Arabidopsis thaliana: one gene and its partners. The protein of the gene in region 1 interacts with the protein of each later gene in a pairwise test. Each region holds a gene or a part of one and is shown in the gene's direction. Other genes may lie near its edges.

Region 1 (9,662 bases):
GGGAAAATGGGCAACTGTGGGAGTGAATATAGTGATGTTCGGGTTTGATTCCTTGGTTTTTTTCTAGAAGCATATATCCCTCTTTTTCTCTCTTGTCTTTTGGTATTTTTTGAAAAAAAAGGAAAGGTTTATAAATTATGTGCAATGAAGCCATATTCTTTTTGGTAATCATAGATGAAAAACCTTTTGTGCTCGTAAAGGGTTATATTCTCGATAGTTTGTTGCAAAATGAATAACTAATGGAATATTATTGGTACTATACCTTCTCTTTATTTTATTAAAGGCACATTGCTTCAATATTGTCCAAGAATTTTTTGATTCCGACCCCTTGATGGGAAAAGACTAATTTTATGTGTGGTTTTTTCTTATGATCTTACTCTTCTCATCTTCTTCTTAAAAAAAAAAAAAAAAAAAATCAAATTGCAAGAAATTAATTAACAGATTTTATTTTCAAACTCTTCAATGAACAAAAAGCAGCTAAATTTTGAATATATTGCCTTATCTTTTAGTCATGAAAATGATCTTTCAAATTATTGTCATTAGTAGCAAACATAATAGAGTATGTACTATTAGTGTAGCAGTGAATGTTATGATTATTGTAGGGATTAATGTAGTCATGTCTAGTAATAAGAGTGATGCCTTTATGCTTCAACTTTTTATATAAGAAGATTGAATCATCTTTTCTGCAATTTGTCTATTGGCCACACCTTCCACTCTTGGAGGTGCAACTATATTTTGCACCCTACAAAATGGTCACGTGACATTCGTTGAACGCACGTGTTCCTGACACAAACCCTATCGACTTGTGATTCTTTTCATTTCAAAATATATACTAACACTAAAACTGCTGAAAGTTTGAGCTTACGTAAAATGATTGGCAGCTTCTCTTGATTTAATGCAAATTGCGAGCTGAGATTTTATGTTAAAAAAATTTGTTGAAAATTGTTTAATCAACATGAATCCATCTAAAAAAGATGTTGTAAGTAGTCTTATATAGTTTTACAAATATAATACTAGTAGTGATGGAGATTATAATGGAGAGGATTACTTCAGCTACGCGTATATGGTTAGAAACTAACATGTTAAAAAGTGTAAAATTTGGTAGGAATTACGAAGTGCAAGAGTTTTATGACCAACAAGAGTGAGAAAGGACTTATGATCCAACTCTGAGTCGTTGACTTTCTAAACATAGTCCGATGAAATAAACCTGTTTCCCACTCACATGACCAACACATGCATGTTTCAGCCTTTCATTGGCATTAGACAAGAAGTGGGGAGCTTGTGACGTAAGATGGTCCTGTCTTCACCTGATTACACCAATCCCGAGTTGATTTAAAACCATTAATACTTGTAGTTAAATCATTGAGGTTAACCATTTATGTAGACTGATCTATGCAGGTTGTGGCTTAAATATTATCTAATGTTTTATAGAACCACTAATGATACAGTAATTTTATGGATTAGGACATTTAAAATAACGTGGAAAACATAAAATATCCTTTTAGTTGTATTTGAATGAAAAAAAAAATGGAATTTTAATCAATTGTATAGCACATCACTGCTAACGAAAAACAATTTTTTTTTGCAAGTTTTCAATAAATTCAACAATATGTCCTTAAAGATTGTTCTTTCTATTTTGTAAAAGGTTCAATTGGATGATAAATTAAGCATGTAAAGAAAGAACATCTTTAAGAAAAGCAAAGATTTCATTCAACAACAACAACCAAAAGCAAAGAATGGATACGAAATTCCGAGTGATAATAACTCCAAATATCTCAACCAAAACATTTACGGAAAATGTAAATGATATTTTTAGGAATTGGCAAAGAATCCATCCCATGTTGTCGTTTACCTCACGTGTCATGTATGGACCCATCCCTCTTCCTCTTATTGGTTTTGTTAATTGATTCCATAAATATCGATCTATCAAACCGTAATGGTGCATTGTGATGTGTTATAGAATATATATTGTCTGAGAAGTAACCATCTAATGGCTGTTAGATTAGTATTTTTTTTTTTCCATTGAAAGTCACTAGCCAAACGGAGAAGTTTGTAAATGTCGTTTTATGTACATAAATTCTGCATTATGTGTTTTCCATAATTTGTAATACTGTAATTTGTGTTAATACATATTATTGTTGTTTAGTTTATTTGAGTTTTAATTTGTATAATGCATGCATATTGTTGATAGAAAAAAAAAATATATATATATATATATATATATATATATATATATATATATTGTTTAAAATTGGGGTAATTTCGTGTTGATATGACCAATAAATCTGATTTAGAAGTAAAATTAATCCTATCAAAAACGATTCATTGGCTTGTAAAAGTATACATTAGTATTCAGATTTATTTAGAAAAATGTCATTAATATTGAATTGTAGAATATATCTAAAGTACTGATATTGAAATTGAGATGAGTAGAGCAAACTTGTAGTACTCATATATCAGAATGAGTTTTGTCACATAAATAAAGCTTGCTGCCAAAAAAAGAAGGGTTAAATCTTTAAAACCCCGACCTAAATAGTTGTTTTATCTAGAAGAGACAAGTTAAAGCGTTATATTAATGGCATCTTGAATACTATATTGAGGCATTAAGATGTCTAGATATTTTTGAGATTTAGCTGAGGAAATCTATTTTCGTCTTCGATATCTATTTTAAGATCTTCATAATCTTAAAATTCAATCAAACTCTTTAGAAAGGCTGTCGTTACGCATTTCTTTACATTTAAAAATAAATGTCTTTTATACATATAAATTAATTTGTGGTCAATGACATAAAATGAAACATAAAACAAAATGAGTGAATAATAGTGCAAGTGTGGGTCCTTACTCCTTACGATAGGATTTTGAACATTATTTTATACTCCATAAGTGTTCTATTATGAAACACATAATTAATATATAATTACAATTGTTAAACCAAATTTTGTTATACAATATTCACATTTAACATAAACCAAAATATTATTTAAATATAAAGAAAGCTAAACTCGAATTGAAATATAGTAGTTTTAAATTTTCGTAATCAGCTGTTAAGCCTGTAATTTGACAAGAGAATTCTCATAGTATACAGCAAAAAAAAAGACAAAATCTCTCAAGTCCCAAATGAGCAAAAATACAAATAGTGTCAGACAAACGTTTTAAAAACGTTGAGAATTTTCTTAAATTATTTTTGGAAGTATACAAGAATATAATTTTTTCAAAATGATTTTGAATTTTGGAAATTTTGTTTAGTTACGTCACAATAATTTTGAAATTATTATTTTTTTTGTCGGCAACTGTGATTTTGAAATTAGTTTCTTACCAACATAATTATTTTCTTATAAGAATGAAGGAATTGAATAAAACAAAAATACGGCGAATAATATTACATGTTGATTGCTAACAGAGAAGAGTAAATCGCACGGCCCAGAGGCACCTCAGATAAACGGACGAATCAGAAAAGAGGAAGCCAATATATACGGAAGCAGACAATCATTACCTTTCATCGCAATATGACTCACTATCCTGCGCTGTTACTGCTACTGTACGCCAAAACAAATGCGGTCCCTACCTTTGACTTGGTTTAAAAAAGTCAAAATTAAAGCAGCTTTTGTGGGATAAGATTGTTGAGAGAGAGGACAAGAATCTGTATCTAAATTCCACTTACGAAATTACGAGAACTCTTTGTGTCTGTGAGATAACAAAAAAATTAAAAATGGAAAAAAAAATAAAGTAGAGAGTGACACAAGTGCTTTGTTTGGTTCGAATATTATTTGTACCATTACCATTTTATTTTCTAGCACACAATTTTGCAATTTTTCTCTCTTTTTTTGGCCTAATGATTTGAGATATTCGTGCTTTCTTACCTTTTAATTTGTAAGATCTTGTGAACATTTTAAATCATACAAATATCTCTTAAATCAGTGATGAGATTCGTTTTGTGAGGAGGAGGAATCTAGAATTGATCTTGTATATATATATATATATGCAATTTTAAACCATTCAATTCTTGGATTCTTTTTTTAAAAAACGTCTAAATTGTTGGATTCTTTTATGAGAACTCTGAACAATGTTACTTACGTTACGTACGTTTAAAACAATTTAATATTTCTTCTTGTTCTTGTGTATATCTCAGCATTGACATTCACGCTAAAAACAAACTAATTATGTATATTTTGTGTACCGGAGAAATGTTGTTTGGATAACTACCAAGTTGTAAAACATACTATAAGCTACTGCTCAAAATTTTGTACTATAAAGTATATTGATTCAATATCATCACAGAATGATGTTTAGTTTGTCTCCAAATACAAAAATCATGGATTTATAAACAAAAACCCTGAGAAAAAAAAACATGTTGGGTTTAATAAAACATGGAGATAAAAGTCTAAACTAATAAACCTAGCGGGTATTTCTTTTTCTTAAAAGACATGATTAATATTTTCTTCGCATCTATATTTTGGAAAGTGAAAAAACATACTACATACATTAGTTAGATAAATCTTGTTTTCGCAAGAAAATCTGATAGTACTTGCTAAAATTTTATTATTTTCCTCGTTATTTTAATGAGATTTGAGAATTGTAAAACTAGATTTTTGAGGGCTAGTGGTCGTTTTATAACAATGTTAGTCGCGTCACCTAGTAACCTGACTTTACCGAATAGTTAATAATTTTCTTAAATGCCAACATACCAAATCATTACCAGTTTACCACTCAACCTTAGTCCTTAATTGATAGGAATGTCCATTGTTTGATGAAAAAAAAAAATGAAAAAAATTGATAGGAATGTCCATTAAGTTAAAATTCTTACAATACATGTTAGTGTTTTACTGTTTGCTGACTGAATCTTAAATTGATTTACCATTAGTGGTTGGTGGTAAATTTGAAATTTTGTCTTACATGCTTTGTTTGTTCAGAAAGACAGAAACCATGAAGCATTTTCCTAAGGTATAAGAACATTATCGTAAATCTGTTTTCTAGTTACACAGAAACAAACTTTCCTCTATCATTATTTTATCACTCAGCAAACTTAAATCATTGAAGTGAAAAGACAAATTGATCAACCTCATTTGTAAAATCTATTCACAATATATATGTATAAATTATTAGTTACCGAATCTTATTGGTACTCTTTCAAATATTAACAAATATACGATGATGGAGTACAACATAATATATGATTTTTTGAAAAGAGTATAAATAAGTGAAAAAGAGGAAAGAAAAGAAGATATGAAAACCCATCAAAAGTTAAAAAAATTTCTTTTTGTCAAATGTATAAATAATTGAAAAGAATAGGCAAGTCAAGTGCTCTCTCTCCCACACCCATCGATTCCTCTCGGACACTGCCCCAATCTCTCTCTCTCTTTCGACAAAGAAAAAGTCAGCGCCGTCCTTTACGCCATAGTTTGTCTCCTCCTCTCTCTCCTCCTCTCACCAACATAATCAAAGAAGCTTTCCTCACGAATTCAAGATCGCCATGTCCTCCGAGGATTGGGATCTCTTCGCCGTCGTCAGAAGCTGCAGCTCTTCTGTTTCCACCACCAATTCTTGTGCTGGTCATGAAGACGACATAGGAAACTGTAAACAACAACAAGATCCTCCTCCTCCTCCTCTGTTTCAAGCTTCTTCTTCTTGCAACGAGTTACAAGATTCTTGCAAACCATTTTTACCCGTTACTACTACTACTACTACTACTTGGTCTCCTCCTCCTCTACTTCCTCCTCCTAAAGCCTCATCACCATCTCCCAATATCTTACTAAAACAAGAACAAGTACTTCTCGAATCACAAGATCAAAAACCTCCTCTTAGTGTTAGGGTTTTCCCACCATCCACTTCTTCTTCTGTCTTTGTTTTTAGAGGTCAACGCGACCAGCTTCTTCAACAACAATCCCAACCTCCCCTTCGATCTAGAAAAAGGTTTGTTCATATCGAACTAAACACATCTCTTAGTTCAAAGTTTCTTTCTTTAATTATCTTTTTTGTCTTGTTGCTTGTAGAAAGAATCAGCAAAAAAGAACCATATGTCATGTAACGCAAGAGAATCTTTCTTCTGATTTGTGGGCTTGGCGTAAATACGGTCAAAAACCCATCAAAGGCTCTCCTTATCCAAGGTTATCATCAATCTTTTTTTCAAAATTTTCTCAAGAAAAAAATATTAACATTTTTTTAATTAATGTGTTAATTAATCGAGTTATTACATAAAACAGGAATTATTACAGATGTAGTAGCTCAAAAGGATGTTTAGCACGAAAACAAGTTGAAAGAAGTAATTTAGATCCTAATATCTTCATCGTTACTTACACCGGAGAACACACTCATCCACGTCCTACTCACCGGAACTCTCTCGCCGGAAGTACTCGTAACAAATCTCAGCCCGTTAACCCGGTTCCTAAACCGGACACATCTCCTTTATCGGATACAGTAAAAGAAGAGATTCATCTTTCTCCGACGACACCGTTGAAAGGAAACGATGACGTTCAAGAAACGAATGGAGATGAAGATATGGTTGGTCAAGAAGTCAACATGGAAGAGGAAGAGGAGGAAGAAGAAGTGGAAGAAGATGATGAAGAAGAAGAAGATGATGATGACGTGGATGATCTTTTGATACCAAATTTAGCGGTGAGAGATCGAGATGATTTGTTCTTCGCTGGAAGTTTTCCATCTTGGTCCGCCGGATCCGCCGGTGACGGTGGTGGATGATGAAAACGAATAAAATCTCAATTTACAATTTACAAAAAGAAAAAAGTCAGTTTTTAATTATTATTTTTGTTTGTTAAAACTTGACATTTATTGTGTTATAAAAAAATATATAGAAGAGAAGAGACAGAGAAAGAAAGACTAATCATAATTGTTCTTTGTTTAGATTCATAGCTAAAATTAGTAAATTAGTCTTGATTTAATCATTTGGTCGATTTGAATTGACATTGCATATACCAAAGCTGTTTCTTGGCTCCAAATGTATAAATCATCTTTTCATTTTTCCTATTTCATTTATGAATTTATCTGTATTACTAAACTAGTGATACTTTAAATACCAAAAAGCAACAAATTTTGTCAAACCCTCTATTTTTAGTGTTGTAAAGGTCAATACGGGTTGACAAAAGAAAAATAAATAGAGGCTAATTCTGAAACGAATTAAAGAGTTAAGCTAATTTAATGTGCCTAGTTAAAAAAAAGTTGGCAGCGAGAACCATGCTAAAAAAATCGTATCGTATTATTCACTTTCATTTAATGTCGAGATAATTAAAAACAAATCGGTACAGTTTAGTGTAATAATTGAGAAATAATCATGTGGGAAGAGAAGCTATAGCTAGACGACAGTTAATACGGTTCAGACCGGAAACAACGAGTCCGGTTTTCGCTGGCTTTAATTTCACGAGACAAGACCCTAAATCTGGCGTCTTTAGTCCCACTTGTGCCTTGCCTTCTATTAAATGGTCAACCTTTTTTTATTATAAAGTTTTTTTTGTCGTAATCCGAAGCGTCGGTCAAACATATTTTATTTCATTATGTCCGTCGTATTAGAAAAATCAGACAATTAAACGTCTCTGGAATTAACTAAAGTAGGGTCGTTATTGCTATAATTTAAAATAAGGCTATGACGATTTAGATGTTACGAATTTTTTTGTATAAATATCATATACTATGGTCGGTCCAGATTCTCATGACGAGAGATGGGCATGCAAGTTGTTACCTCTCTCGATTGTCTTATCTTTATTAGGTTTTTAAAAGTGTTTTCTTATTACTTTAGTGAACAAGCATTTAATGTACCAAAAATATCAAAACAAATCGAGGAAAAAAAGTGTTTCTTTTTTAGAAAAAAAAAATATCCAACGTAAGAGTTGGCCATATTTTCTAATGGTCCCGACTCACAAAAAAAAAGATATTTTAATAGATAAATAAATTACAATTGAATTAAAATTAATAAGAAGTAAAAAAAGATAGAATTAAGTAATAATTATGCTTAAAAATCAAGATCCATCATATGTCAATCACATTAATGCTAAGCAACAAACTCCTATCAATTACTAATAAGGCCCATTATTTTATAATTAGGCCCATTAAATTCAATTTCGGCCCATAGTTTCTTTCGCTTTCTCCATCTGACAAGTGAAAGTTGACACTGTAAACAACTACAAACAACATTTCTGAGATTGCGCCGGAGTCAAGGAGAGGGAGAGAGCGATCCAACGGTTGAGATGTTTCTACGGGCAATCGGACGGCCATTATTGGCTAAAGTGAAGCAGACGACGGGGATCGTCGGGCTTGACGTTGTTCCCAACGCGAGAGCGGTGCTGATCGATCTCTACAGCAAAACCCTAAAGGAGATCCAAGCTGTGCCGGAGGATGAAGGGTACCGTAAAGCGGTGGAATCATTCACGCGCCAACGTCTCAATGTGTGCAAGGAAGAAGAAGATTGGGAGATGATTGAGAAGCGGCTTGGTTGTGGTCAAGTCGAAGAGCTTATCGAAGAGGCTCGCGATGAGCTCACACTCATTGGGAAAATGATTGGTTCGTACTCTCGTTGCCTATATAGATTGAGAACAATTGGAATATAGATTGATTTGTTGCGATAATCACTCAAATTGAGAAATGGGTTTTGTAATTGAGAATCTGAATCCTGAGGCTTTGTGGATTGTTAGGTTGCAAAATCTGAACACTGAGCATTGCAAAGGTGACCCTTTTATTGGGCTATTGAGTTTAAGTGTGTGTTGAAAACTGATATACAAGTAAGGGAATGCAAAAGTTTAGGTTTTTATATAATTTGCTAACTTTGGCTATGAGTGAATGGTTGCATAGTTCACTTTAGTTTGGAACGGCTTTTGCTTTCAATGTAGGTGTGTGGTCATCTTCTTGCTTTGTAGTTATTTGTACATTAGTGTTATTGCTTGTACTCTCTTTTGAATCTTCATAATCATGTGAGCGAGGTTACAAGTAGCTATTGTTTGAGACTTATCACATTCTTTGGTTGCAATATACTTCCAATGGTTTTAGAATGATGGCTTATTTGTTCTGATTTTGTCATTTACAACATGTTCTTCACCATGGAGTTGTAATTTGTTCTTTTTGCATATGCAGAGTGGGATCCTTGGGGTGTACCAGATGATTACGAGTGTGAAGTGATTGAGAATGATGCGCCGATTCCAAAGCATGTTCCTCAGCACCGACCTGGTCCTCTTCCTGAGCAGTTCTATAAAACGCTTGAAGGTCTAATTGCAGAGTCTAAAACAGAGATCCCAGCTGCTACACCCAGCGATCCGCAGTTGAAGGAGTAACTTCCAGTTTTTACATATTGTGTGCTTGTTGCTTTTTTGGCTAGAGTTGTTTCCGAATCAGTGGTCAAGCCTCTGAATAAATTGCTTAATAATTTTCATAACGATAACAATGTCTGTTCACAAATGTTTTATCACTCTTATTAAACAAATGATGTTTCTTCCCTTTTGCAAGAACATTCGCCATTCTTAAAGATATGAACCTGATTCCCATCTCTTACAGTTATTTTCTTATCGACTAACCGAGTCAAGATGGACACGAACTCATGGCAGTCCTTACACAGAATTTTGTTCTTAACAACATGAACCGGGGCTTCTGGTGACGCATAGATAAAACCATACACAACAGCTTGTTTTGCACTGTGAAAGCTTGCGTTTTCATTACCTCTGTATGGT
Region 2 (10,204 bases), 1.9 Mb from region 1:
TCCAGAAGAGAGCGCCGAATGGAGAGAGCTGAAAGAAGTGAGTCGTTGTGAAAATGACAGCGAATTCTACAATAAAACTGGAGAGAGAAACAGGGACAGAGGGTCCTATAAAAGAGGACGCTTTCTTGTGATGTTGTTGTTGTTGGTGAATCAGCGACGATAACTACGATGAAGAGCAACACGACTGCTATATGATCTGTCTTTCAAAAAATAAAATAAAAATTATCTGTACTTCAAACTCTTTAAATGTTTTAAAATAAATTATTGTTAAATTACTGTATCAACCCCTTCTTCTACATAAATCATCATTGATAGCAAATATATATTTGAAAATAATTGCACATGGAAATTGGAAACTTTGTTATTTACGCAAATCTTTATTTATTTTGTTTTGTGGAAAACGCAAATCCTTATTTAAGATATAATTTGCACAAAGAATCTTTATTATTTACACAAAATCTCTATTTTAAATATATTTATTTGTTGTTTGTTGACTCATTTAATATATGGTGGGTGGGTCGGCGATTGGGACGAAAGTTAAAGGGTAAACATTGGAAACAAATAATTCGGATGGTAAAAGATAGTATTATTCAATTTATTTTGATTCAAAGACGGGATTAAAATTTTGGGTTCTAAATTAGGTTCAAAAGTTTTATGTAATGAAATTCCACATTGGGACATGTATTTGGAGAACATTCTACTTTAAGATAAATATTTCTAATTTTTTGGGTATTTTGATTTTTGTTTGGAAAAGTAATATACTAAAATGGATAATACGAATACTCTCTCCCACACTTAATCCAAATGGATAGACATAATTGGGTGAGAAGGAAATCTAAATAGCTTTATTGTACATTCCCTTAATAGAAGTTAAACTCTTGAGTCTTCTTAAGTTAATAAATTTATTGTGGGACAAACTAAACCAAGATAGATTTTTGTGTTCATATGAGCTTGTTAAAGTAGAAATCTAAAATTGAAAATAAGATGGTTCATTAAGTTTAATTGTGCAAGAAATCGAAAAGAAGAAAATATTCAGATTGTCACCACGATTAAAGTGGTTCTTTGACTGGTCTCATACAAAGCAAAAAAAGAAGAAGAGAGAGTTAACACAAGAAGCAACTCCTAAAGATAACTTCCCTTCTTCTCATTATACAAATCTATATAAATCTATTTTAATGACAACCCTAAACATATGGGCTAATAAGTTATTTCTATGACAATGAGTTTTTATTTTGGACAAACTTCTATGACAATGATTAAGTGTTCCAATAACTGCAGTTTGTTTGACCAAGATTTTGATTCCAATTTTTAATTTTTATTCGATATGCAATTATTAAAATCCGACTCAACCCCAAATTACGACCCAAATTCAACTAACAAACACGAATGGGATGGAGATTGATTTTTTTTTTTAGTGAATTAGGATGGGGATTGATTTTCTGTCTGGAAATGGAATAGGTTGTTGGGAACGAAAAAGCAATCTACTAAATACTCTCTATTGTACCTTCCCTTGATACAAAAGTTAAACTCTAAGTTAATGAAATTGTAGTTAGGCCAAAGTTTTTTTTCTGTTTAAGGGCAAATTATAATTATTTATTAATTGTTTATCAAAAATAAAATATCGGTCAACGCATAATTCTGACAACCGAAGTAGAATGGTTATGGTATTGGCAACATAACTTATATTTATTTGTGTATGTCGGTATGTTATAACAATATATAGTGTAGCTAACAAGACATTTTTAAAGTATGCATGTGTGACTAGATGATGACATCTCTTTCGTATAAGTAGCAAACATTTATCCATTTTTGTGCTCATATAAACTTATTAACATAAAAATCTAAAATTGAAAATAAGATAGTTAGTTAAGTTTTATTGTGCAAGAAATAGAAAAGAATAAAATATTGGGATTGTCATCAAGATTAAAGTGGTTCCTTGATTGATCTCACCAAAAAAAAAAAAAAAAGAGACTTCTACGAGAGGCAACTCCTAAAAATACTTCTCTTCTTCTTATCACACAAATTATGAATCTGTTTTGATGGAAACCTAAACACATGGGTTAATGAGCTATTTCTATAACAATGATTGGGTTGCTCTACTAATTGTAGTTTGTTTGACAAAGATTTTTATTCCACTTTTATTTTTTGTTCGATAATTCCTTATCCAAACTTGATTTAAACCCCAATTTTGACCTGAGTTCAACAAATAAACGCAAACTTAGCGAACAGGATGAGACAAATTTTCTATCTCGAAATAGATTAAATAGTTATTAAAAACTTATTCTTTTTATCAGGATTCTTTTGTTCTATTCCTTTCACAACTTTGAATTCTTTGAAGCACTTTTGTATAAAATCACAATCATTTTGTTCAGATTTTGGGAGCTGGAACTGAAGTGTTGTTTCTAAAATCTTATCAAAGGGATGCATGTTGTATTGCTTTTGTGTCGCTTATTAAACTTTCAATTTGCACCCAAACGAGAAATAAGATCAAATCCTCTTGTTTTCATTTAGATTTGTGTTGACATTTGTGTTAGTTTCTTAGTGTAAAGGAACAAGTTTGTGTTGACATACATTCTTTCTTCGTTTTTTCAGTGGCAATTGACAGTTCCTTACTTGCTACTTCCTCTAAGATTGTCACTTACTTGATAAGATGAACAACGATGATGTAAGTTTCTTTTTTTTTTCTAATGTTATAGAATTGTATGATTGAGAATTGGATGTTTTTTCCTGAATTTAGAATTGGTCGGACGAAGAGTGTTGATATTTTCTTCAACTTTGTACTGCTGAGGAAAAAGGGAATAGAAGAAAGACGAGATTAAATATAACTGGAAAAGAGTCCATCATGAGATAGTTTGAAGAAAAATTTGGGAAGAGATATTCATGGGATAAACAATTCAAGAACAAGTATGATGTGCGTAGAAGAACATACACAAAGGTTAAAAACTTGCTTCATAACAGAACTGAAATTACATATGATTCTGTGTAAAGAATAAATATAATTTTTCTTTTCATTACGTTTACCTAAGTATTTAAGAAAGCAAGTAAACATACTTTTAATAACTAAAGGTCGCTGAAAATTCTAAAAATTGTAACGTGAATTCTCAAAACTGTAAAAACTGATTCTTTTTATTGTACCCTATATGTTAACGTTAATTCTCATAACTCTAAATTCTTATTTTTCCATCAAAATCATGACGTCAATCAAACTGTTAAAAGGCGAGATACAAATATAAATATTGTACTAATATTGTTAATCTGAAATATCTACTATTCAAACATATTTGTTTGAAGTATATCATATTACATGATACATTTTTTGGTGATGAATCAAATTGATGAATAAACATTTCAATATGAAATTTACTTGTTTTTGAATAATTATGTAATACTTTTTTTTATTAGTTATATTTTGTAAAAAAATATAATATTTTATTATAAATTTCATCAATTGACACATATTCATTCATGACAATTTTTTTATCAAGCTTGAGATCCTCAAAATGGTTTTATCATTAGTTATATTTAAAATTTTAACATTAAATCATAATAATATAAAAATTTGGTGTTTTTCAGTTTTCTAAAATTATAAATTATATTATTTTGGTATTTTGTATTTACCGTTATCGCACATGCTAGTTAACCAACTATAAAACTTCAACAAACGTAAAATTTAACCGCTAAATCAATCATTTAAAATATATGATAACTCTTAAAACCGCAACTCTCCGTTTCCATAAATTTCAGCAGTCTGCATTTGAACCATTCAAGCCTCGTAGTTTGGTCAAGAACCGATTACGCGGCCAAATCTTATATCCGACGCTAAGTCGCTAACCATGTGGAAACCATTATTTATCAATAGAAATCAAAACGACAAAACCCGACCTAAACCGAAATCTCAAATTCGAACCCAAATCCAACTTACAAACCTGACCTTAACCGGAAATCAGAATCCGAAAACATTTTCCCTTATAGCAAGGTTTAAAGAAAGCAATAACAAAACCCTATCTCTCGTCTCTTCTCCCCCAAACTCTCGCCGCCGTGATAACCCAAAGTTCTCGACGAAGCCATGTCTACCGGAGAAGAAGGTCACATGGCGATGGCAGATAGAGGCTCTAGAAAGAGAAGAGTCGGCGTTAAGAAAGGTACTAAAGCGGCGAGGAACAAAAAGCAAAAATCAAAACCTTCTACTTCCGATAGGTTTAAGGTTACAATGAAGAATCAAAAGCTATTTCAGAAGAGAGCACGAGATTACAATTCCGATGACGATGAAGAAGAAGATGATGAATCGAAGAAACAACCAGAAGTAACAATTCGTGAGAAGATCTTCTCTGATGCTAACATGGGACCAAATTACGAAGAGATTGGAGAAGAAGATAATGATGAGAATTCAGATGGTGAAGATCATGGAGAGATTGAATCTGGAATCACTAAGTTTGCTACTGATGGATGTAATGCTTTCAAAATCGCTTTTAAAGCTATTATGAAGAAGACTAAAGGAGATGATACATTGGTGAGATTTTATAGCAGATTCTAGTTTTGAGTTTTGATTTGGGAATATAGTGTTGAACTGTGTTGGTGTTGTGTGTAATAGGGCCCAGTTTTATCAGCACATAAGCATCTTATTGGAGAGAAGCTAGCTGAAGATGAAGCTGAAAAGAAAGCTAAAGGTCAAGCTAGAAAGGCTAAACATTTGGTATGAGTTTGGTTGTTGTGTTCACTATTCGTTTGTGTTCTTGTGTTTTAGATGATGATTTATCTTAACAATTGCTTTTTTAAGATTGCTGAGAAGGGACATGTTAAACCTGGAAGTTATTTGGATTCTCATGAAAAGATTCTTATTGGTGTTGCTACTAAAGGAGGTATTGTTGCTTTGGTTAAACTCTCTGTTTCTTGAGATTGTTTGGTTTTTTTTTTTTGTTTTAGTATTGACTCTTTTTTTCCTCTCCATGAACTTGTGGTATCACAGTGGTCAAGCTTTTCAATGCTGTAAGTTTGTTTCTATGTCTATTTTTGAGGTTTTTATTCTCCGGTAGTGATTCGTATGATTCTTAGTTTATGTTTTTCAAATAGGTCAACAAGGCTCAACATGCTCAGAAGGGTTTGAATCCTTCAAGGTCTAAAGACGCTAAAGGTAGGCTTAGAAATTGATCGTTGGCATGAATCCACTGTCTTGTTCTTATCTTCTAATTCTCGTTTTTTATCCTATTGGAACATCCATCAGTGCTGAAGAAGCGAAGAAAAGAAGCATTCTTGTCTGAGTTAGGGAAAACAAAAACAGACACCAAGGTTTGGCATAGTCTCCATATCTCTTACTCTCTCTCTTTCATTATGATTTATCTTGAGAGTTTATTCCTTAGCCGTTTGATGCACGTAGAAACAAGTTAGTATTCTGTCTTGATCTAGCTCCTATAGAGAGTCACGAAAAGAATCACCTCATGAGTGAGTGATAGATGTTAGTTATAAATCAGAAGTATTCTTAGTAAATTACTAGTAACAATTTTGAATGTTCTTAAAGCCTTCAACTTTGGATGAACATAGAAGCAAGTTAGTATTCTGTCTTGAGCTGGCTTCTATAGAGAAAGGATCACCTTCAGTAGCGAGAGCCGTTAGTTATAAGTCTAAAGTATTGTTGGTTAGTTAACTAGTGATATTCTGTTGGATGGTGCAGGCTCACAAATCTGAAGACGAAGCTCCTGTTTGGGCTCCTCTACGAGATAATTACATGTTAGCAAACCCAAAACTGAAGGACTGGGACAAGAAACAGGTATCTCTTCATTCTTATCCACAAATCTGGAATCACATAGCTTGCATACTGATTTATACTCTTTGATCTGAAACTTAAAATTGAATTGTCCGCAGGAAACAAGCGAGGGAGATGATTTTGCCGGTTTGTCAGGAGATGAAAGTTATGAAGACTGAAGAGTTTAAACTAGTAGTTAAACGAGCAAACTTTAATTTTGCCTTTGTATCATGCAAATTTTGTCTGATCAATATGAATGAATTCAGTTTTTTGATAGTGCAAAAGGATCCTGAAAGGTTGTGATTCTTGTGGTTACGCTTTTAGAAAATACACTTGTTAGTATCATTAACCAATACCGTAAATATAGAAGTGATGATACTCCAAACTTCTACATGGTTATTATTTATATGACGTAAAAAAAATATACATTCGTTGTTTTGCCTTGGCTACACAAATTATAATAGGACAAAATTTAAGGATCATGAACCTGAATCTGTAGAAGAGTTTCTAGTTTCACAGTCAAGTCATGATGCCAAATGACAGAAGAAGATAACAAACTTTATGCAAAAAATGAGGCAGAACTGCAGAAGCATGCGCCTTTCTAAGCAAGTATGACGCTTTTGAGGCGGAGAACTCGTGTTCCTTTTCAACCAATAATGGCTTCCAGATCCATCGCTGCCAATTAGTTGCATCTCTGTCTTATATCTCCACTTTGTGATCTTTCATTGTTTTGAGGTTTTATCCTCAGTAGCTTCTTGTTGGGCTCATCGGGTCGTAATCATAAGCTTCACCGGACTTGACAAACCGTCCTTTCACACGCCGTCTCACATCAGCCCTTTCTTTCCTAGAGACATACCTTACTCGCTTGTCAAACCTATTTATACAAAATATGTTAAATATTAGCTATAACAACTTTCAATGATGAATTAAATTCCTTTCTGTGTGCGTTTATACTTACTTGCGAGCCTTCTTCTTTTCCTTGTAACGCATAACAGCGTTATTACGTGTTGTTGCATGTGAGGAAGCAATAATGTCCTGTGCTGTTGGATGGCACCATGGTTGTGGCTCCCTTGAAAGCTGCTTCATCGATGACGCCCCACAATCTTGGAAATCTCCAGCATTACTTTCTCCAGTGATGCCAGAGAAGGAGATATTCGAATGTGCTGGCTTTGATGAATAGCAAATTATTGGCTCGGTTCTACAAGTCATGAACGAATCTGCAGATGCATTATTGCTTAATGCTGGCTGCTGCATTGAGCCCTGAATTGAGAAAACACACAAAAGAGCATAAGGATCACAGAAAAAAATCATCCTTAACTTTAGTGATACTAGTCTCAGATAGAAGAAGAAGGTTGACAAAACCTCATGAGCTTCATCTTTCTCGAAAAGACTTCCAATTCCACCGTGCTCGAAGAGATATCTTGATGAGTTGAAGGCTGAACCAAAGAGTTCTTCATAGTTCTCAAGAGCCAAGTCTACTTCATCTGAAATGAGATTTCCATTGAAGTCATCCTCACATACTCCAAGCTCCTACAACCAGTACAATAATAAGAAACATTTAGACGCTAGTTGCTTTCAAGATCTTACCACAATATGAAGAAAATCATGTTAAAATACCTTAGCCATTGATGAATTTTCTGGAACACTAGAGTGATCCATACCTTGTGCAGCCGAACTGGTTTCAGGCTGTTCTACATTAATTTTTTGGACACCAGATTTTTCTCCTGTGCCATCTTCATCTATAGTCATCAAACCCATTCCTTGCTCACAAGCGGATTCTTCAGCAGAAGAGATATTCAAATCCATACAGAAAGACCATATCGAGGATAATTCGGCACTCGAGGGACAACCAGAATAACAATTGATGGTTTGCCTTTTATGATGTGAAGTAGTAGTAGAATTCTTGCCGTCATGGCCTGACCAATCACAGTTTTGACATAGAGAAACCCTCTCATCACTACACCGGACAGAAGCTGGCTGTGCATTACACCTCTCACATACCAAAGTCCGCGAATGACGTTTCGATAGAGCATTAGCAGAATGAACATTACGGTCACACGAAAGACACAAACACGCTGCATCAGATCGACAATACACCATTGATCTTTGTTCACCACAGAAATCACACATATAACCCATCTTTCAACCAATCTCAACCGTCACACTGAAGAAAGCAAGCTCCTTTCACTAACAAAGAATCAAACCATTTTGGTTAGTCCCTTATATCATAATCTTAGAAGGAAAAAAACTTACCACAATACATTAAACAACTAACAAAAGCTTGAAACTTGGTATCGAAAGCAAGTCCAGAATTAGATAAAAGTCCAATCTTTTTAAACATCTCTTCCTCAAAGATTGTAACTTCCTATGGATGAGACTGTTCTAAATCAAAGACCAATCAAAAGAGACATCAGAGAAACCAATTAACATCGCAGAAAGACTTCAAATTTCAGATCAACATGTACCAATCAGAGAAGTGAGCTAAAAAATTATAGATTTCTTATTACAAATCCGAGAGAAGTGAAAGAAGATCCATTTCAAGATCAGTCAAAAAGGATTGAGAATCAAAGCAACCCTCACTAAAATAACAAGACAAGGGTTTTAAAGAGCTCACGTAGGAGAGATCGTCAAGTATCTTCTGAAGCAGAGACACCAAAAATGAATGACTTTTGAAACGAATAAGCGATGATTCCACAAATTTCTTCTTTAGCTGCGTGTGAAGAAGGGTAAAAGGAGAAACAGATGGATAGACAATGGGTGGGTTGTGTCTGCAAAGGGACATGTAGGCAGAGGCATGTGACATAAGCTGATAATTCTAGAAACATTGGGTAAAAAGTTCAAAAGAACCCATTTTCTAAGGACCCTAAAGATATTTTTATGAGTATGAAGTCACGCGCTCGCGTGTAGACAAAGAGCCGTACTCGCGATCTACAAGGCACAAGTGGAACTTTTCCGATTCTGGATTCTCAAAAGCGTCTTCTTTTAGATGCTTTAAGGCTTAAAAGCCCAATCACAACAATAGTCTTTGCTTTGACTTTACAAAAAACCAAAATATCTTAATTTGAGAGACGCACATGAATGAACAAAATATCTTGCCTAAAAAAGGAGATATTATTTTTGTAGGTGAAAAGAAAGAGAAAGATCAAATATAATATCTGGCAAATTGGAAACGTCTACACAAAAAAAGATATTTGTGTATCTGTAACACTGACACGCGCAGGTCGGTGTCCACTCTTACTTATATTATTCAATTTGACAAAATATTAGTACATTAATTTGAGTTGAAAACTTTTAATTTGAAACTATGTACACTAGATAGTCACAATGCTAGTGTCAAGTATTTCATTTTTTAAAGACTTTTCATTCTTTTTTTGCTTCATGTATTTTTTTTAAAAAGTCAAAACCTTAATAGGCTAATTTTTTAAAATAAAAAACAGCTTTAATTGATAACTAAATAAGCTAATTGTTTTTAATTGAATTTGTAAATAAATAGACTTATATATATAATGGCCTAGCTAAAGAAAACTAACTCATATCCATAAGAAACTTACCAAATTTTCTTATGGTTATTCGATTAACAAAAAGTATGGTTAAACTAATACAAACTTTTTGTTTGCAAATATCTGATTGTCCTAACTCTTGAGCAATCGTTTAGTTGGTATTTGGGACCAAACTAAGGTAGACTAAATTGTTAATTTCTAATTCTATTCCAACTTAATCACCAAAAGAGATTTAAATAAAAACACACACACTATGATATTAATAGTCTTCATTCAAGTTTCCAAGCATAAAGAAACAAACAAAAGTCATGCAATGGTCCAAAACCACTTGATGCTGAATTATAACGACTCAAAGGACTACTCCCTCCTCCGCTATCTCCTTCCTCCGCATCGCTAAAGCTCTCATCTACCATCGCTCCAACCGGAACAGGCTTAAACAAAAACAACCCTGAACTCGCTGCAGTCTCCGAACTTGCAAACAACCAATCATGAACATCATAGTAGACCATTACCGGTGTTCTATCCACCATCACCATTTGGTTTCCCCTAAATTTCCATTGTAGATTCTTCACGTTCACAACCACGATCCCATCAACGCTTATCCACATCTCTGGCTCCGCTGCTCCATTAGAGCTCTCCACCACCACTTCATGTTCCTTTCTTTGTTCGTCAAACCTTGCCCGAGTCGAAAACGTTTTCTTCCCAAATATGCTTTCTTTTTTAAAGTATATGAACCCTTCCACCAATGCCGGTCTTGACTTGGTCCGCTTATAAGCCTTTTGCTTTAAATCTCCCAACAATAAAACAACCTCTTCATCAGAAACTACTGCCACGTAATAGTCTGACACGGGTTCGGGGCTACCGTTTCCAGCCAATTTTGCTGATCGAAGATCCCAAAAGACCTCCACAAAGTTTCCCTCTACGTCGAATGACTTTGACCCTCTTTTGCTCCAAAACTGCCATG
Region 3 (11,970 bases), about 17 Mb from region 1:
CTAGATAAATATCCTGATTCAAGTTGCTTTTGCGATATATGGACTCTATTAACATAGATTAAAAGTTAAATCTAAAATAACATATATAATATATAGAACCTTAACTTTAAACCATTCGTAAAAGAAAATCATGTGACAAAGAATTCATAAATTATGTCAATACGATTAGAGAGAGAGATAGAGAGGAAAGAGACCAGTCTTTTTGGCAATACGATTCCAGTGACCTTTGCCATGAGCTTTGACATAATCCATGAGGATTTTGTCTTCTTCTACTGTCCACAAACCTTTCTTGTACTCATTGTTTCCTTCGTCACCACTACTACTTACTTTCTTTCTCATTCTTTTTGTTTCTTTGAATGATAGACGAGAGAGATCATAAAACGAGAGAGATAAAGAGGTTCTTTTGAGTAGTTATTTGACGGAGTTATTAATAGTAGTACTACAAGTTCAGAACCTAGTGGAATATTTATGTATAAAGTATGAATAATATTTAATAAACGATATACTATTGGTATAAATACAAGTATTAATGATTATAGACTTATTTTAGATATTGACATAAGGTATTGATTGTGTCTAGCATGTGATGATGATATGTAAATAATAATGGACTTCTGAGATGCAAGCTGGTAATTACTGATACGGATTAGTTTAATGACTTAATCTAGATTTCTAACTAAAACATGAAAACATGGACCGGTTAAGATGGTCTTGGGAGACACAAAAATCACGTGTATGTTTTAAAAAGATTCGGCTTTGATCTTAGAGCTTTTCGGCATCGAAGTTTCATGTGTCAGGGCTAGTGTTTATATATCTTCTTGAACCTTGATTAATTGAAATGAATCATAAGTATTTTTCTTTTTTAAGAGATATTAGACCGAAAATATCAGGGACACCATTATAGTTAAACTTATGAAACCCAAAGTGTTTTGAGACCATTGCAAAAGACTAGATACACATCGCAAATATAAAGGAGGTTGTGAAGGTTCTTGCCGCAACCCATTGGAAGGTGAGAAGGATAGTAACTGGCTGGCTCTCATAGTTCCATCAAATTTTTTATGTATTGTTTCTCAACTAACCATTAATTATAATAGTGTTGTTATTTTCATCAAGTAATAGTAGTTGTTCGTTTTGAAGTTTAGATACTTTATTTATGAGATACCAAGTTTATATGACATCCTTTATCAGAAAATACATTGATTAGAAAATGAAATGCCTCGTCATTTTTTATAATTATTTTGTAGAGTGATACCCTTGGACCAACGTCCGGGAATCTTGGATTAAACGATTTCCTAGAGTTAATTTTGTAAATTTGGTTACTAATTAAAAAAAGAAAAATGTACAATAAGTAATTGATTAGTGGCATGAGAGTTAGGAATTGTAGTTAGGGGAGATATTCAATTAGAAGATGGTTTGACACTTTGACTCTCTTGGGATTAGGATTCTTCACGGGGAAAAAAAAACAGTGTTATTGTTAGAAAGAAAGAGAGAATAGAAGCTCCTTCTCTTATCATTAAAATTTCTTGATCTCTGTGCCCCCACCAAATATCTTTAATTTACGTATAGATACTATTACTATTGATTATTGAATTTATAATCACGTATATTGTTCATATTTTTTTTCTGTCACATAGCATGTGCGATGGATATTTGAAATTTCCAATCTGTGTTGTAAGCAAATATTAACTTTGTTTGAAAAAAAAGAATTTATTTTGTTGATATTTTTGCTATTGTACATCTTGTTTTGCTGACTTATTTATTCAAGATTAACAAAATGATTTTCTTTTCAGTAATTGACTATATCAGTAATCTTATCAGCAATATGACAAACAATAATAATAAGATCCATAATTAATATTTTGCATCCATAACTAAGAATTAGAGTTTTCTGCATACAAAATTCGAATGATCTATTTGGGCATATCACATATCCAATGATACTTGTACATGGTTTTTTTAAAAAAAATATTTCTTCCTAATGAAAGAAAAACAGAGGCAATGATATTTTGATATAGCTGGCACATTTAAAATTCTAGACATATTAAACTCTTAACGCTGGAAGTTGAGGCAATATATAAGAGGGGTAGTAATTTTATATACAACATTTTATTGTCATAACTATATAAGAGGAGTGTGTATTTTTACATATAAATGTTATAATTAATTATGTCGTAGAATGTATGATTGAGGAATTTGATGGACCTAAGTACCTAACACTCATTTATTCACAATCTTATCATTTAATTTTGTTTGATTCTAATATCAGGTTTGATATTCTATACATGGCCAAGGAATTTGTGATTCACAAGTTTACCATCTTTTCAAAATCATGTAATGATTTATGCTACGAACTAAATGATATATTTAAATAGACTTTATTTATGTTAATTATATAATATGATAAATATAGCTAATTCTTATTGATACTAATTATATTGTTGAGGTTCTATCATTAATTTACGTGGTGAAACTGCAATTTGATTTGCGGAAATGATCTTATATCATTAGAAGGAACAACTAGGACACTGCTCTTTTACATATGTGCGAGTTTTACCAATAAGATATTGACTAACTACGAGACGAACATTAGTATTTGCTAATGTGTTTCGCTGATTTTCTAGGTTTTAGTCGTGACGTGAAATTCAGTAAGAAGCACAACGAAATGCCATCGGCTCATGTGTGTGAAAAAATTAAAAATTTATGGGCTGAACAATTCTAATTGCATGATGATTCGGGTTTAATTTAGGCCTCTGGAAAATCCAGGGCTTATTTCCATGCAAAATCTTAGGTCAGTATTGGGCCCGCCTTTCAAAAGCCCAATTTTAATTATTCGTTTTTGTTGTCCGATAAAAAATCCAGAAGAAGTCATCTCTCCCCTTAAAAACGGTAGTCAAAACTAAAAGACTCAAAGTGATTTCCAGTAAGTTTTGTAGAAAATAAAATAATTGTGGCCATTGGAGATTTAGCAAGGCTCATGGAAAAGTGATTGTTCTTTTTTCCCCATGATTCTAGTTATAAGGCCATCCTTGATGCATACATCAACACCATGACTGGTCCAAAATAGCATAGGTCTAAAGATGATGAAGCAAATGATAATCAGTTTATTCCGATAGAAGCAAATGAGGATGTCATCAATTGTGGATGTTATACCTGATTAGTTAAGCAAACCATTAGCACTATGTTTAGTTAGAAAAGAAGGAAATTATGATAGCCATAAAAATGCCAACATTTTCCCTTTTAAATTGCATTCGTGGTTTTTGAAATTTTATTATTTAATTAATTTGTTTTCTTTCAGTTGTCATTTGAATGGTTATCATAATTCGGTCTTATATTATTGATTTTTATTATTCGTTAGGTTTTTTTCAGTTGTCTGATGGAAAATTCAGAAGCCACCACTTACAAATCAAAAGTATAAAAAAAGACTCAAAAGAAGACTCCAAAATCCAAATAGTTTTTCTCCATTTTTTTTTTCTTTTTCCAGAAATTATAGTTATAGAAATAAATAGTTGTGGCCGTTGGAGATTTGCATTGGCCACGAGTCATGGAAAAGTGAATGTTCTTTTTCCATGATTCTTCTAGTCGGTCATGCTTGGTGCATGTATGAACACATATTTAAAGTTCTATACAAGTTGTTAGAATTCTTTTAAATTTAATTTGCTTTATTTATTTTTTTAGTTTTAGTTTTGGAAAATCATGGTCACACATCTTGAGCTACCGTTGTTATTTATATATAAATGTTCTTAATATTAAAAAATTATGAACCACAGGGCTAATAAACTTGAATATTTGTAGGGTCAATGGCTTTATTAATGTGTATATTTGTAGAAGAAAGCTGGGAAATATTCTATAAGTAAATTATCATCTTATACACTAATTTTTTAAAAATCCACGCCTAGTAATAAATTCCAATTTTTTTTAACTCAGTAATAAATTCCATTTTTTATTAAAAGTTTATTTCATAGAAGTACTTTTTTTTTTATGTGATAAAAGAAAAACTGAAGAAGGCCAATGAAAAATGAAGATCCCAAAGACATAAAAAGTGACAAAAGAGAAGAATAAAGAAAGACCAACAACACCACTTGGGGGAGGCTCCCATACACAAAACGAAGGCGCGAATTTCAAGGACTCTTCTCGACGACCAAACCACATAAAACACTCTTACCAGAATTTGTGTTGTCTTCGTTCATTTCCTTCTCCTCTTCTTCTTCTTCTTCGTCGTAATTTTGATTGTTTCTTTGCGAAAAGTCGTTTTTTTAATCAAGTCTGAATCACGTTTTATTGATCTACACTCGCGTGGGTTCTCCGTTTCGTGCTTAGATCAGAGAGCTCCCTCCCGTGATTCCGTAAGATTTCTGCGTTTCTCATTACTTGGTTTCATTTCAACGTAGATTCTGAATTTTGTGTGATCTAGTCTACACATTTTTTTTTAATTCTTTCCTCTGCTCCTAAATTCCAGAATTCAGACAACGGTTGCGATATTTCTTATGTCTTTTTTTCTATCGTTGTTCATTTCAGAAGTTTCGATATAAAAAAGGTTATTGTTGGATTTTGAGTAACACATTGTCCTCAATTCTCATCGTTCTTCAATCAAATTTTGGATTTTGAGCATCATGGATGATGGATCTATGCATTTTGATTTTATATTGTACAGAAAGAATGTTTCTTGTTTTGTTTTGATGATGTTTTCTTATGACAACAATCTTCATGTTTTTGTAGGAGCTTTAAGGTCGGAAATGGCGGCTCATGTTTCTACTGGAAACATTCATAATTTCTATCTTGCGGGGCAGGTTTACAGGGGACAAGCTTTTTCATGGAGTTCTGCTTCTACTTTCATGGCAAATCCATTCAAAGAGCCCTCTTGGTATCACTTCTTTTAATCTTTAATCCCAAATTTTGTCCCTTTTGTGTAGCAATTGGCATTTTGAGGTTCATGTTTCTCATTTATGATTTTGCTCTTTGTTCTCATGTAGAACTTTAACTAGTTAGACCTATAGTTTCTCATGCTGGACTCAAACTTTTATAATCTCTGTGTGCATATAGGTCAAGTGGGGTATTTAAGGCTCTAAAAGCTGAGAGATGTGGTTGTTACTCTCGTGGTATTTCCCCCATCAGTGAGACCTCAAAACCTATCAGGGCTGTTTCGGTATCTTCTTCAACAAAGTATTATGATTTCACTGTGATTGGTAGTGGAGTAGCGGGTCTGCGTTATGCTTTAGAAGTTGCAAAGCAAGGAACAGTCGCAGTGATTACCAAAGATGAGCCTCATGAGAGTAACACAAACTATGCTCAAGGTGGTGTTAGTGCTGTGTTATGCCCTTTGGATTCTGTTGAAAGTCATATGCGGGACACTATGGTCGCTGGTGCTCATCTTTGTGATGAAGAAACCGTAAGAGTAAGTTCCCTTTGTTGCTGATCATTACCTCAAAACTGTTTGATAAGTGCTTGTGTTAGTCTCGTGCATAAGCATTTTGTAATGGTCTAAACCTGTCTCACTTTTCTGTATCTGAATGTTCTTTTTCAGGTTGTGTGTACTGAAGGGCCTGAAAGGATTCGTGAACTGATTGCAATGGGAGCATCATTTGATCACGGCGAGGATGGAAATTTGCATTTGGCCAGAGAGGGTGGTCACTCGCATTGTAGGATCGTTCACGCTGCTGATATGACAGGAAGAGAGATTGAGAGAGCTTTACTTGAAGCTGTACTTAATGATCCCAACATATCTGTCTTCAAACACCATTTTGCAATCGATCTGCTCACTTCTCAGGTTCCACTTCACACCCTTGAAAAACACATGTGCATATATGATCAATTGGCTTATCAGATCATATCTTTTTGTATCTTAACAGGATGGCTTGAACACAGTTTGTCATGGTGTGGACACTTTGAATATCAAAACTAATGAGGTACACAAAGATCTTGTTTCTGGTGGTTTGATCATTCACCTTATATCTTAGATTGTAATGTAAAAAAAACTCATGTTTCTTCAGGTAGTACGCTTTATATCGAAGGTGACATTGCTTGCTTCAGGTGGAGCTGGGCATATCTATCCATCAACCACAAATCCTCTGGTAACATTTTCTATAGACTCTCTTTTTAACAAAGCTCTATGGAAGTTTCATTTTACCAATTTTATCAGAAGAAAGAATGTGCAGGATCAACACAACAGTTTTGTGTGTTTATGGGAAATATCCAAAAATGAAACTTTGATTAAGTAATGTGATTTATCCCTTGAATACAAAAGAAAATGTCGAAATTATCACGGGTATACACAAACATACTGCATTAGAGTTTTAGATTTAATAGTTCAAACAGTTGCAGAAACAAAGAGATTTTAGTCATAGAGTACATTTTTTTGCTAAATTCGGTTGTGCTAGTCGCAATGATATTTCTCTAAAAGTGATATATTATGCTCCATTTTAATTATCGACATGGTTTTTGTATAGGTGGCTACTGGAGATGGGATGGCGATGGCTCATCGAGCTCAAGCTGTGATCTCAAATATGGAGTAAGTGAACACCGAAAAACCGACTGAAGAAACTTGTTGACAATAAACTTATGTTTTGTATTTGTTTTTGGTTAGATTTGTGCAGTTTCATCCTACTGCCCTAGCCGACGAAGGTCTTCCCATCAAACTACAAACTGCTAGGGAAAACGCGTTCCTCATCACCGAGGCGGTGAGAGGTGATGGTGGCATCCTCTATAATCTAGGAATGGAGCGATTCATGCCTGTTTACGATGAACGAGCTGAGCTTGCTCCAAGAGACGTGGTTGCAAGAAGTATTGATGACCAGCTTAAGAAACGAAACGAAAAGTATGTGTTACTTGACATAAGCCATAAGCCAAGAGAAAAGATTCTTGCCCATTTCCCGAACATAGCTTCTGAATGTCTTAAACACGGTCTGGATATCACCCGTCAGCCTATTCCGGTTGTCCCTGCAGCCCATTACATGTGTGGAGGAGTTCGTGCTGGTTTACAAGGCGAAACCAATGTCCTTGGATTGTTTGTAGCAGGTGAAGTAGCATGTACAGGCCTCCACGGGGCAAATCGTCTTGCTAGTAACTCGCTTTTAGAAGCTCTGGTTTTCGCGAGACGGGCTGTTCAGCCTTCGACTGAGCTCATGAAACGCACAAGACTTGATGTATGCGCATCAGAGAAATGGACAAGGCCTGTTGTTGCGACAGCTAGATTGCTAGGAGATGAAGTAATAGCAAAGATTATAGCTTTGACTAAAGAAGTGAGAAGAGAGCTTCAGGAGGTAATGTGGAAGTATGTTGGTATTGTCAGATCGACAATTCGGCTCACCACTGCTGAGAGGAAAATCGCAGAGCTAGAAGCAAAATGGGAAACATTTTTGTTTGAACATGGATGGGAACAAACAGTGGTAGCTCTTGAAGCTTGTGAGATGAGAAACTTGTTCTGTTGCGCTAAGCTTGTGGTGAGCAGCGCGTTAGCTAGACATGAAAGCAGAGGTCTTCATTACATGACAGACTTTCCTTTTGTGGAAGAAAGCAAGCGGATTCCGACGATTATTCTACCGTCTTCTCCTACAACAGCTAGTTGGAGCTCAAGGCGGTTACAGAATATAAGTAGCAGCTCACTTATTGATTGCTAAAACTGCAGGAGTTTTTGTTCTTATTTGAATCCAAACCTCTCTGATTATTGTATCAATTTGAAAAAATTTGGATCTCAAAAGGAATCTCTGATTCTGACACTCTGTAATACAAAAGGAAATAAATTATTCATTTGAGATATCAATCATATTGGTAATTCATATTTCAATTCCTTTGTTATGGTTTATTGATGACTTTCTGAATGAAAGAAACAACTGTGAGTGTGGATTTCCCAAGCAAGAAGCAGGATTGAGAACAGTCTTGTGTTCACTGACTCCATATCCTCGGTTCCTTTTTTTTCTGAGTAAATCATTCCAAAAGCTTCTATCCTTCTCCTGAGGAAATCACGAGCTCCAAGCTCGGGTATGGCTTCCATGACCAGACCAAACATGAATTCATTCTTCCTGTCTTCTTCAACTAGACCAGGGTGTGATCTGAGAAGGCTGCACAAAGGCACATCCATTAATAATCAGAGATCTCTTCTGCAATGTCGCTTTAGAACAGCCTAGTTACTAGTTACATCCAGAAACCAGCTAGATCATAAGTCTTGCCTGCTCTGCAGCTGCCATCGCCGTTCTGCTACAATGAAATTCAAAGGGTATTTTCAGGAGATAGTTTTGGCTCGTGCAATTTGATTTAACAAAGAATAAAGATATCCTGAATTACAATGTGAAGAAGTACTATGGTGCACCATAATCTTACCAGCACTAACCCAATTGCGGAATCACAGATTCACAATTGCTTAGGTGTCCTGTTTGGAGCCAAATCTGCTACTGTAGTATATATCTGAGAAAATGAAACATTTGAGTAAAGTTGCAACTGAAAATAGGAGGAGACTAGTATTGGAAGGATGAAACAGAATTACCACGTTCACGAATTTGAGGAACGAGCATTCTTTTTCTTGTAACACTCCTTTAAGAATCTTTCAGCATCAACCTTCATTCCAGGTTTAGAAAAGGCAGCACTTATCCAGTAAATAGTTTGATTACACGGAATATATCCCTTTTCTTCAACCATCTCTTTTAGCAACCCTTTTGCCTCTGCTAAGTACATTGCTTTTTTATTCCACTCAACGTCTGGATGAGTGCAAAGTTTGCACAAACCAGATATCATGGTACAATAAGTCGAAGTATTGGGGCTCACTCCTCTCTTACCCATCTCTTTCAATAGCTCTCTCGCCTGAAGCATCTTCCCAACGTTAGCAAATTCACTAATAAGCACATTATAAGTGCTGGTTTTCGGTACCAACCCATCCGCAATCATCTCACAATATATCGTCATACTTCCTTTCATATTCCCTATCTTAGCTTGACCAGAGATTAAAGCATTGTATGTAAAATCGTCAGGGCGCATACCTCTACTCTTCATCTCACTCAGCCATTTGTCCACTTCCTTTATTAGCCCAGCATCAGAAAGACCTCTTATTATAGTATTATAGGTTGCAACATTTGGGGATATTCCTGCTTCCATCATCACAGAATATGTCGAAAGAGCTTTTCTTACATGACTGCCTACAAAGTACCCGTGCATAAGGGAATTGAACGTCACAGTATCAGGAATAAAGCCTCTCGCTTCCATATCCCCCATAACCATAGCTGCCTTTTTCGTCATACCTAGTTTGCACAGAGTTGCAATAAGAGTGTTATAAACTTGCCGACTGAGTTTAATCCCATAACTCAATAGCGTCTCATGCGTTTTGAATATAGCATCAGCTCTTTTATGCTTCGAAGACGTGTCAAGAAAAATCCGGTATGTCGTTAAGTTAGGATGGATCTCCATAAGCATCATTTGATTCAATATGTGAATTGCTTCCTCCATTTTACCGTTTTCGCATAGCATTCCAACCACAATATTGCAACTCATCAGACTCGGTTTTATTCCACAACTCTTCATCTTATCCCAAAGCTTAAGGATACCTTCCGAATCCCCTTGCTTTCTTTGTGAATTCATCATTATGTTAAATGTAGCAATATCTGGTTCTATACCCTTCTCTCTCATTCCTTTGTAGGCCCAGTCTGCTCCGACTTTGCCAAACTTTAACATCCCACTGATTAAGACATTATAAGAAACAACATCCCACGGCATCCCTCTCTCTTGCATTTCTTCAGCCCAAGCAAGAGCAGCTTCTTCGTCTCCTCCTTTGAAGAATACATCAATTAAAGATGTGTAGTTAATCTGATCCAGCGTCACTCCTTTAGATACCATGTCTTTGACTAATCCCTTAACTTCCTTAATCCTACCAATTCTCTTCAAGTGGTTCACCAGAGCATCAAGTATGTAGTTGTTTTCCTCCACCCCAATCAGCCTCATTTCCTTACTCAGTTCAATTGCCATTTCTTCTTTCCCTGCCTTAAACAAGCCATCAATTACTGTACCATAAGTAAAACCATTCGGCACAACATTTTGGTCCTCCATTTTTCTCAAAAGACTAACAGCTTCTTCGAGCATCCCTTTCTTCACATAGCCGTTTATCATACTAGAGTATGTTACAACATTCGGAATAACACTTTTCTCTAACATCTGCGTTATGATAAATTCTGCACTGCTTAAATCCCCCGCTTTGCACAACCCATCAACCAAAGCCGTATATGTAACCACATTTGGAACTTGGTTATCTTCCAAAAGCATCTTAAATGTTTTCTCAGCCTCCCTAAGGTCCCCAGCCTTAAACAGACCATCCATCAAAACAGTATATACAACTAAATCTACAGGTATCCCACGCACAACCATCTGACTGTAAAGAGCCAAAGCATGGCGGTAAATATTTGCTTTAAATAACGAATCAACAAGAGTAGTATAAGTTACATGGTTCGGATATACACTCATCTCCTCCATTTCCCGCAGTAACAATCCCCCTTCCAGCACTTTTCCACCTTTGCACAATCGGTTAATAATCGAACTAAAAGTAACAACATCCGGATCAAACCCACTCATAACCATATCCCTGTATGCTTCTTCAATAGCATGGAGATTGTAGTAGGAGCTTAAGAGTATAGTATGAGTGATAAGGTTTAGTTCCGAGATTTCGTCAACTAAAGCCTTAGCTCTAACAAAGTTTCCAACTTTACAAAACCCATCAATCAGAGTATTGTAGCTAACCGTATCAGGCAATATACCCATCTTCACCATCTCAGATAGAAACTGATAAGCCTCATCAGCTAAACCATGTTCACATAAACCCGAAATCACAGTGTTATAAGTAACAGTATCGATGCTGATTACTCTATTTCTAAGTAAACTAATTGCAAAACTCAAACGACCCACTTTGCAAAAAGAATGAATCAATACATTGAGAGCAAAAACATCGGGAGACACTCCACAAGCTATCATCTTGCTGTAAATCAGCGATACCTGATCGTGTACCAAACCATTGACATTGAATTGATGAATCAGACTGTTCCATAGACGCGAATCCGGAACAACCCCGAAAGTGCACATCGCAGAGAGCGTCCTTGCTGCTCCGTAGAGTCTCTCACAGCTTAAATAGAGCCGAAAGAGAGTATGGAAGAGAGAGACGTAAACTCTAGTCTTGATAGGAGCTAAATCTGGGTCGAATCTTCGTTGTGTGATCGAGAGGCTAGTCTCTTCGCTTTCTGGGATTTGGGGTCGTTTGATTGACGAGAAAGAGCGGCAATTTGAGAGGAAGAATCTGTATTTACCCTTATAGTTATTCCAAATCCTTATCATTATCATCAGCAGATAGATTGGAGTTCATCTAAATCTCCAAATTTCTCCAGAGACTCCTGCAAGCTCTCATGGCGTCTGCTTGTGACGACGCATCGTTTTCCAGGTGAACTGAGAAAAAGAGTTTCGAAGCTCGACGACGAGGTTTAAGTTCGGTAATACCACGTCGTTTTAAAAGACTCAATAATAACGGCCCTAAATACATGGGCTGTTTTTGGGCTATATCTAAAATAAGCCCAACATATTAACGTTTAAACATATTTCATACATTTCGGAGATAAGATTTCGGAAAAATCTATTTCACGACGCTATTTCGGAGATAGATTAATAATGGGTTAAGTTGCAAATTACTCACTTTTCTAAATTTAATTTGAAAAGTAGTCACTTTACTATTCATAATTTGCAAAATAGTCACTTTTCACTGTTTGATTCGTACACTTAGATTGTACACCATTTTTAGTGTACAGATGTATATAAAAAATACACAGCGTACACTTTACATTTGTACACTAAAAGTGATGTAATCCAAGTGTACGAATCAAACAGTGAAAAGTGACTACTTTGCAAATTATGAATAGTAAAGTGACTACTTTCCTAATTAAGTTTGAAAAAGTGACTATTTTGCCAATACACCCATTAATAATAATGCGATGCTATTTCACGACGTACTTATCC

What was found.
Region 2: the proteins of WRKY27 (region 1) and AT5G48240 interact in a two-hybrid assay, tested with the Arabidopsis thaliana proteins (one large-scale study listed by BioGRID).
Region 3: the proteins of WRKY27 (region 1) and AO interact in a two-hybrid assay, tested with the Arabidopsis thaliana proteins (one large-scale study listed by BioGRID).

The regions. Positions count from the first base shown.
Region 1 is NC_003076.8:21,405,526-21,415,187, forward strand, and holds WRKY27 (WRKY DNA-binding protein 27), read left to right. Parts: upstream 1-5,243; 5' UTR 5,244-5,470; coding exon 5,471-5,910; intron 5,911-5,990; coding exon 5,991-6,104; intron 6,105-6,200; coding exon 6,201-6,693; 3' UTR 6,694-7,001; downstream 7,002-9,662. Other genes in the region: AT5G52840 (NADH-ubiquinone oxidoreductase-like protein), read left to right, coding at 8,193-8,505, 9,073-9,269; AT5G52850 (Pentatricopeptide repeat (PPR) superfamily protein), read right to left, coding at 9,410-9,662. UniProt on the Arabidopsis thaliana protein: Transcription factor. Interacts specifically with the W box (5'-(T)TGAC[CT]-3'), a frequently occurring elicitor-responsive cis-acting element.
Region 2 is NC_003076.8:19,555,235-19,565,438, forward strand, and holds AT5G48240 (Rrp15p protein), read left to right. Parts: upstream 1-4,008; 5' UTR 4,009-4,066; coding exon 4,067-4,510; intron 4,511-4,591; coding exon 4,592-4,693; intron 4,694-4,777; coding exon 4,778-4,859; intron 4,860-4,966; coding exon 4,967-4,986; intron 4,987-5,070; coding exon 5,071-5,131; intron 5,132-5,221; coding exon 5,222-5,286; coding exon of another isoform or gene 5,287-5,357; coding exon 5,358-5,443; exon of another isoform or gene 5,444-5,538; coding exon 5,539-5,593; exon of another isoform or gene 5,594-5,668; coding exon 5,669-5,764; intron 5,765-5,859; coding exon 5,860-5,919; 3' UTR 5,920-6,041; downstream 6,042-10,204. Other genes in the region: BBX8 (B-box type zinc finger protein with CCT domain-containing protein), read right to left, coding at 6,485-6,614, 6,699-7,000, 7,103-7,270, 7,358-7,879; AT5G48270 (DUF868 family protein (DUF868)), read right to left, coding at 9,510-10,204.
Region 3 is NC_003076.8:4,764,400-4,776,369, forward strand, and holds AO (L-aspartate oxidase), read left to right. Parts: upstream 1-3,863; 5' UTR 3,864-4,343; intron 4,344-4,716; 5' UTR 4,717-4,733; coding exon 4,734-4,861; intron 4,862-5,040; coding exon 5,041-5,392; intron 5,393-5,521; coding exon 5,522-5,764; intron 5,765-5,846; coding exon 5,847-5,903; intron 5,904-5,987; coding exon 5,988-6,068; intron 6,069-6,443; coding exon 6,444-6,505; intron 6,506-6,580; coding exon 6,581-7,613; 3' UTR 7,614-7,754; downstream 7,755-11,970. Other genes in the region: MYB66 (myb domain protein 66), read right to left, coding at 195-339; AT5G14770 (PPR repeat protein), read right to left, coding at 8,482-11,304. UniProt on the Arabidopsis thaliana protein: Catalyzes the oxidation of L-aspartate to iminoaspartate. Can complement nadB-deficient E.coli mutant. Plays a role in stomatal immunity.